Ovis aries: one gene and its partner. The protein of the gene in region 1 interacts with the protein of each later gene in a pairwise test. Links are inferred from orthologs where the notes say so. Each region holds a gene or a part of one and is shown in the gene's direction. Other genes may lie near its edges. The genes, in order: TNPO2 and CAMK2D.

Region 1 (3,810 bases):
TCAATTGTCTTGGTTTGCTTTTATTCCTGTGTGCGTTTATTTTGCAAATGGTAGGTATGTAGCTTTAATGGATTAAAAATTAGGTTAAGTTATAGGTGGAAAAGATGAAATCAACAGAGAGGGACTTCCCTGGTGGTCCAGTGGTTAAAATTCCTTGCTCCCAATGCAGGAGGCCCACGTTTAGGTCCCTAGTCAGGGAACTAGATCCCACATGCCTCAACTAAAAATCCCTCATGTCACAGTGAAGATCCTGTGTGCTCCAACTAAGACCTGGCACAGCCAGAGGGGGAAAAAAGGCAGCAGAGGCTTCAGGCATAGCTGGATCCAGGTGCTCAAAGGATGTGAACAGCAGACCATCTGGGCTCAGATCTACTTCCTCTGTGTCTACTTTGTTCTCAGGCACAGCCTGCCCTCATGGTAGTACTTTCTGCAGCCTTCTAGCTTGGGAACCTCAGAGTAAAGACAGTCTCTCTTTACATTACTCTTTTATAGTGTCTCTGTAGAAGTTCTAAGGCTGATCCTCTTTGATCAACTTGAATCACTTGTCTGTCCCCGACTCAGTGAAGTCTCTAGTCAAAATCTCTGATCAAAAAAAAAAAAAAAAAAAATCTGATCCTGAGGTGCATGGGTTCCAGCGGAGTTGGGGAGGCTGCCCTGCCTGTTAGCTCCCCAACCTGGCCCCATGCCAGGAAGTGCCTGGTGACAGGGCAGGGCCATGTATCACTGCTTTATGGCACGTTAGGGATCAGGCTTCCCTGGTGGCTCAGTGGTAAAGAACCTGCCTACCAGTGCAGGAGACAGGTGTGATCCCTTGGTCAGGAAGATTCCCTGGAGAAGGAAATGGCAACCCAGTATAGTGTTTTTCCCTGGAGAATCCCATGAACAGAGGAGCCTGATGGGCTATAGTCCATGGGGTTCCAAAAGAGTTGGACAGGATTTAGCGACTAAACATCAAGGGGTCAGGCACTATTCCAAGCTTCTCAGAGTGTGTGGGGGTCTGGAATTCACTGAGTGGCCAGGGGTCTGGATCAAGAGCATTCCTGTAGAGCTAGGAGTAGTGTCAGCTCTGACCCAGTCACAGTGGCTGAGACTCGGTTCGGAATAGTATCCACTAAGAGAAATTAATGGATGCAGGACAAATGGAATTGGCATGTACAGTCTACCCCTCGGCTCCTTGATGCTCCTGCCTGCAACTCTTCTCCACTTCCCTCTTCCCCAGGCTGTAAGCTGTCTCTAGGGCCCCTGCATCCTGATTAACAGCCTCTCTTCCAACAGGCTGATCCCCATCCTGGTAAAAGGGATGAAGTACTCGGAAATCGACATCATCCTGCTGAAGGTTAGCTAGGGCTGACCACCAGTCACTGGCAGGGTGAAGGAAGGCTGGGGCGCTGGGGGCCTCTAGGGTTCTCAGCCATCTGCCTGACTCCACAGGGGGATGTTGAGGAGGACGAGGCTGTCCCTGACAGTGAACAGGACATCAAGCCACGTTTCCACAAGTCACGCACGGTGACGCTGCCCCATGAGGCCGAGCGGCCTGACGGCTCAGAGGACGCGGAGGACGATGATGACGATGACGCTTTGTCCGACTGGAATCTGAGTGAGTGGCCTGGCCTGCAGTATGAAGTGAGGAGTAGGGGACAGCAGGCCCTGGGCTCCCTCTCAGAGGGAGGGAGCCTATGCAGAGCAAATCACAAAGATTCAAATCACAACCTTGGATCCCAGGGGTCACAGAAAGGAGGGCTGGTGGCCTGCCCCATGTGCTTCCCTGAGCCCGCCCCCCGATTTCCCCTCCCGCCCCAGGGAAGTGCTCGGCGGCTGCACTGGATGTCCTGGCCAACGTCTTCCGGGAGGAACTGCTGCCCCACTTGCTCCCCCTGCTCAAGGACCTCCTCTTCCACCCCGAGTGGGTGGTCAAGGAGTCAGGCATCCTGGTGCTGGGTGCCATTGCTGAGGGTAAGTGACCCTCCAGCCTGACTGTGTGTGACCTCTGAGCCTTATGCTGGTGTGAGATGGGGCTGGGCCAGGGAGGGCTGGTGAGGGTGAGGCTATCCCCAGGTTCTCTCCAGTGGCCTGCTCAGCCCACTCCAAGCAGCTCTGGGATTTGAATCTTCCCCTCAGCCCAAGATCAGGCTTCCCAGTGGTAAAGAATCCACCTGTCAATGCCAGATACGCAGGCATGATCCATGGGTTGGGAAGATCCCTTGGAGGAGGAAATGGCAACTCACTCCAGTATTCTTGCCTGGGAAATCCTATGGACAGAGGAGCCTGGCGGGCTATAGACCATGGGGTCACAAAGAGTCGGACAAGACTTAGTGACTAAACAACCACCACCTCAGCCCAAAGGCCTGAAAGGGACCCCCAAATGCAAGTCCTTTCCTTAATTCTCAAAGAAAGGCAGTTCCATGAGGTCTTAAGCATAGTTCAGCAACAGTAATAACAGGCAGCCCTGTCCTGTGGGCTTAGTGCCACCCGAGGAGGTAGGTTTCTTGAAACTCAGCTGCAAAGAGAATTACACCACTTCTCTTGTCACCTGGGATGAAGCTGGGCTTCAGACCTGCTCTGACTGCGAGGCTGGCCTGCCAGGATCAGAAGTGTGCAGAGGTGGTGTTTCCTTCACTTTTCTGGCTCCCTTTGTCCTGACGGTGTGCACAGGGTGAATTACCAGAGGGCTTTCCAGATCTGTGATAGCAGACACACACAACTACCTCAGCACCCAGGTCTGCTGGAACATGTGAAGTGTTGTTCATTTTAATGGGAAAGATCTCAAGGAATTGACCCTGAACTGGTGAAAATAGATCTCAGGGCTGGGACGGTCAAGGGGTATGCTGTGATCTGCAGTGAAAAGAGAGACAGACACATTCAGAATTTTTGTTTTTTAGAAAGGGAAGATGAAAAGTAAGAAAAAAGTCACAGACATCTAAGAAAGGTTTCAAAAGAAAGGTGCTTCCTGTCCATCTGGGTTGCTGCTGCCCATACAGGCTGAGTTAACTCTGCAGCCCAACCATCTATGAACTAGTGAGCAGGTAGCTTCCCAGGTGTCTCAGTGGTAGGGAATCCACCTTCAGTGCAGGAGATGGAAGAGACGTGGGTTTGATCCCTGGGTTGGGAAGATCCCCTGAAGGAAGAAATGGCTACCCACTACAGTATTCTTGCCTAGAGAATCCAATGGATAGAGCCTGTTAGGCTACAATCCATGGGGTCGCGAGGCGTTGAACACGACTGAGCACACACATAGAGTAACCAGATGGCAGCACAAGCCCTGGGATGGGGTGGGGCTGATGGAAAGGGAAGTATTTACTTATGTATTTTGGCTGTGCTGGGTCTTTGTTGCTGCGAAGGCTTTCTGTAGTTGCGAGCAGAGCCTACGCATTGACGCAGGGGCCTCTCATTGAGGTGCTTCTTTTGTTGCGGTGCACAGGCTCTAGGGTGCATGGGCTTCAGTAGTTGTGGCACGTGGGCTTAGTTGCTCCACGAGACATGTGGGATCTTGTCAGACCAGGGATCAAACCCGCATCTTCTGCATTGGCAGGCAGATTCTTAGCCACTGGACCACCAAGGAAGTCTGATGCCATTTCCCATCCCCACCCTGCCTTTCACTGACTCTGTGCCTTTGAGACAGTTACTAACCTCCATGCCTCAGTTTCCCCCTCTGCCCAGAAGGGTGGATGTGGCCTGGCCCAGTTGGCTCAGCCTTGCCTCTGTGCCCGGTCCTTTCAGGCTGCATGCAGGGCATGGTGCCCTACCTGCCCGAGCTGATCCCGCACCTCATCCAGTGCCTGTCGGACAAGAAGGCCCTGGTCCGCTCCATCG
Region 2 (3,910 bases), on another chromosome or scaffold:
CGAGAAACCGCCTTACTATCAGAACTTCGGGAGGTTACCGGGGAGTTACTCAGGAGGGAAGGTGTGGCTCGGCTGCGGAGTGCTCGCTTTCGTTCTGTTCACGTTCATGGCCCAAGCAGAGGCTTTTGGGGATTGCCAGAGTCTGAGCAACCCAGTCTAGAAAACGGCGGCGGAGGTGGAGAGTGAGGCGGCCGTCATATCAGAAGTGAAACGTGGCGGGGCGGGCGTCGCCCCTCGCCGAAGAGGCCGCGGGGGAGGGAGGAACCCCGCGCAGAGCGCCCGGGAGCGGGCGCAGTGGCTTCTGCCGGGGCGGGCGCACCATCATCGGGGCTTGGGGGAGGCAGGGACCCGTCTCTGGAAGCAGCGTTTTGCCCACATCCGGCCCCCACTGTGTCAACACCGACTCAAGCCGAGACGAAGCGCCTGCACCTCTGGCCCTACCGGGGCACCGCGGCTCGGGGGGCGGTCCCTGGTGCCCGGCGTCCACACCCAGGCTGGGGGCCCCCGCGACCCCCGGCCGCAGTTTCCGCAGTCCACGAGTTACCCCGCTTCTTCCCGCTAAATCGGCCCCACGTTCCGGCAGAAGCCTAATTGCGGGTTTAACTGTAATTTTCTTGTCTCGCCTCCTTCACCTACACCCTCTCCAGGCGTCTCCCCCGCACATCCTCCTCCACCCACCTGGTCTCTCCCTAGACGGGCGTGCGCGCGTGTGAGACCCGGGGAGGGAGGGAAGGGAAGGAGGAATCCGCGGAGGGACAGGGTGAGAGTCGCTAGCGGGAGGGATAGGATCGGCACCAGGGGGCTTCGGGAGGGAGGGGGCACTGGCAGGCGGAGGGAGCGGCGGGAGGAGGCGCTGGGGCGGAGGCGGAGGCCCGGGGACGGCGGACGAGGCTTCGCCCGAGCGGAGCGCTGTCTTTCGCCGCGCAGTCTCGGAGCCGCCGCGGGCTCGTGTGGAGCGCGAGGCCGCCGAGGTGCGGGCGGGAGGGAGGCCGGCTCCGGCGCGCCCCGCGCCCGCGCCCGCTGACAGCTGCAGCTGGGCTCGCGCCGTCCGCTCCCGGCTCCGCGGCCTCCGCCCCCTCGGGCTCCCTCCCCTCCGCCTCTACCCCTCCTGCCCCGGTGCGGATCGTTTCGCAACTGCTCGCCTCTCGCCCCGTGCCCGGCTGTTTTCCATCTCCCGGCCCCTCTTCTTGAGTACTTTGCGCCTGCATCTGGGGAGAGGGTCTAGAAAGGGGTCGGAGGGAGCGTCGGGAGAAGAAGGAAGCGAGGCCCGGAGGAGGAGGAGGATCGGCGGACAGCAGGGAGGAGACCCCACGCCACCCTCTCTGGTCATCTCCCCTCCCGCCCCGCCCCTGCGCACACTCCCTCGCCGGCGAGCTACTTTCGGACGAGGAAAGTGAGGGCGGCCCTGGGTGACAGCGCCGCGGGGCGAGTCCCGGGGAAGCCGCGCGTCTGCTTTCGTCTGGTCCGCCGCGCTCCCAGCCAGGGGGACAGCCCGGACCGAGGATGGCTTCGACTACAACCTGCACCAGGTTCACGGACGAGTATCAGCTTTTCGAGGAGCTCGGAAAGTAAGCGCCTTTGCCGGGTACTCGCACGTCCCCTTTCCAGCAGAGGGCGGGTCGTGTTACCCCCGACCCACGGGCCTCCCGCGTGGGGCGAGCGAGTTGGGAGACGGGAGGAGAGGGAGGAGGGCCCCCGGTGTGTCGGCTCGGAGGAAGGTGTTGTCTTAGTAAGAGGAGGGGACGACTAAGGGGAAAGACCTTCCACCCCGGCTGTGGCCCTTTCTGATAATCCTTAGCCCACCTTCTCCCGCTCCCCCACCCTCCTGCACTAGAGACTTAGTGGATTTACGATCCCTGCAGTTGTAGCTGTCATCCTGAGAAGTGTGCGAGCGCGCGCGCGCGTGCGCGTGTGTGTATGAAGAGGAAACAAGAACCCATGTAAAATGCAACATAGATCACGTTTTCTGTAAATAGAGATGCCGCCGGGTTCGCCGGCGAGTCAGCCATACGACCCACGTTCAGATGAGAACTCACTGCCCCAGACGGTGCCATATTTATTGATGCCGAAAGTTCAACTTGGCGTAGAGTCTGTTTCGCATCCAGTAGTTGTTCTGTCCGGGAAAAGAGCCTCCCAAACGAACTCGACCCCCTGTCCCATATCCACTATTATTCCTTGCACTAGATTGCTCGCTTATCATCACCCTTCCTAGGATTTACATGAACATCTTCGAGTTCTCTGGGAGGATTTATTTACACAGGCAGTGGAAAAGCCCTCTGGAGACTGGGAGAGTGCTTCCCAGGGGTAACCTAACGTTGTATGTTGTTTGAAAACGACCTTCTACACCTGACCGACAGGACTACTTGGCAATGTTAAGGAAGGAGACAGGAGACCTACTGAGAACCTGTGCAAAAGAACCTAGGGGCCGAGCCGTGAACGTTAATTTATGTAGCATCAAACCCAACCCCAGTTCCACTATCGCTAATGTCGAACATTACTCAAGAAAGGTGCATTTATGTGTATGTTGTTGTTTTCTACAGTTGAGTTAAAGGACGTGTAAATATCTTTTAAATGTAATGAAGATCACATCCTCATATATTTATGTTGTCTGCTGTGAAAACATGGAGAATATGTCGGAAGAGCAGCTTAATTCAAATCTCTCCCCTCCCCCAGTCCAAAACAGGGCAGAGAGAAATCACCACAGCAGGATTTGTTAAACCACACACAAATATTCCTAAGATTTATTTTAATGAAAGCAATCGCCATATTTACTTACTTGGAGCCACATTAATTTTTTTTTCCTACCAGAATAAATAGGCAGCAGATTTTTGCTGCTCCTCTTCAGCTCTTTGCAGGATTTTTTCTCAGAGCATTTGGTGCTGAGTGTGAATTGTAAAATGTTTTCAAATTTCATGTGCAAACAAGAGTCGTCATTATTGGCAGTTCCTTTCATTTTGTTGATTAATAATGTGTGCTCCCAGTTAAGTAAAATTTATTTTTGTTCTTCAACGTTAAAGAAGGCCTGAGTTTCCAGGAAGGATTGTTCGTTTTCTAGTTATTACTATATGGTGCACTGATATTTGACAGTTCACTAAATTCAATAAAAATACTCAGATGTAAGTTTTTAATAGAATATCAAGCTGATTATACTGATGACCTGCTAATTATTGGTTTTCAGGGGGGCATTCTCAGTGGTGAGAAGATGTATGAAAATCCCTACTGGACAAGAATATGCTGCCAAAATTATCAACACCAAAAAGCTTTCTGCTAGGGGTGGGTATTTTCAACCACATATATGTTAATTGTGCATTTGTCCTGTTGGTTATTGGTTCTGTTGTATGTTGGTTGTGTTCTATGTAAATAAGTCATTTAGTTATAATTGTAGCTGTAGGTATCATATTACCTTTTGAGATTATTTCCTTCCTGAGTGCTTCTTGGTTTGTGCAGTTTAAAAATGTGACAAAATACAATTGTTACTTGATAAATTGTTATTAAAATCTTACCTTTTCCGTGGGTAATAACATAACTAACTACATTTTAAAGCAAATACATGTCACTAAGTGCAATTTGCCTTTAGCTCCACTGTGAAATAACTTTCAGAAAAACCCTGGAATGGAAAAATGTAAGTCTCACAACTGTCATTATTCCCTTTTGCTTTTGAGAGGAAAAATAGGTCATAACTCAGTTAAATCATATATTTCAATTGTAGTTACACTTGAACTTAATTCATTAAGGTATATTTAACAGTAATGGCTTTGGGAGGAACATTTTATGGTTGCTATATTCCAGGAAATTCAGCTTGATTTTGATGTTTCTGAGTGCAGTTTAGACCTTTACTTGATCATCTGCAGTAAGACTTCTCACTCATGTAATGTATTTTACACATGCTTTATAACTGCAAAGATAATTC

The links.
Region 2: the proteins of TNPO2 (region 1) and CAMK2D interact in binary tests that used the Homo sapiens proteins (3 or more experiments, as listed by UniProt). The two-hybrid records come from large-scale screens. The link is inferred for Ovis aries from reciprocal best matches to the Homo sapiens genes TNPO2 and CAMK2D.

What each region holds. Positions count from the first base shown.
Region 1 is NC_056058.1:11,096,070-11,099,879, forward strand, and holds part of TNPO2 (transportin-2), read left to right. Parts: intron 1-1,275; coding exon 1,276-1,336; intron 1,337-1,431; coding exon 1,432-1,597; intron 1,598-1,800; coding exon 1,801-1,953; intron 1,954-3,717; coding exon 3,718-3,810. UniProt on the Homo sapiens protein: Probably functions in nuclear protein import as nuclear transport receptor. Serves as receptor for nuclear localization signals (NLS) in cargo substrates.
Region 2 is NC_056059.1:12,176,526-12,180,435, forward strand, and holds the start of CAMK2D (calcium/calmodulin-dependent protein kinase type II subunit delta), read left to right. Parts: upstream 1-1,386; 5' UTR 1,387-1,503; coding exon 1,504-1,568; intron 1,569-3,178; coding exon 3,179-3,273; intron 3,274-3,910. UniProt on the Homo sapiens protein: Calcium/calmodulin-dependent protein kinase involved in the regulation of Ca(2+) homeostatis and excitation-contraction coupling (ECC) in heart by targeting ion channels, transporters and accessory proteins involved in Ca(2+) influx into the myocyte, Ca(2+) release from the sarcoplasmic reticulum (SR), SR Ca(2+) uptake and Na(+) and K(+) channel transport.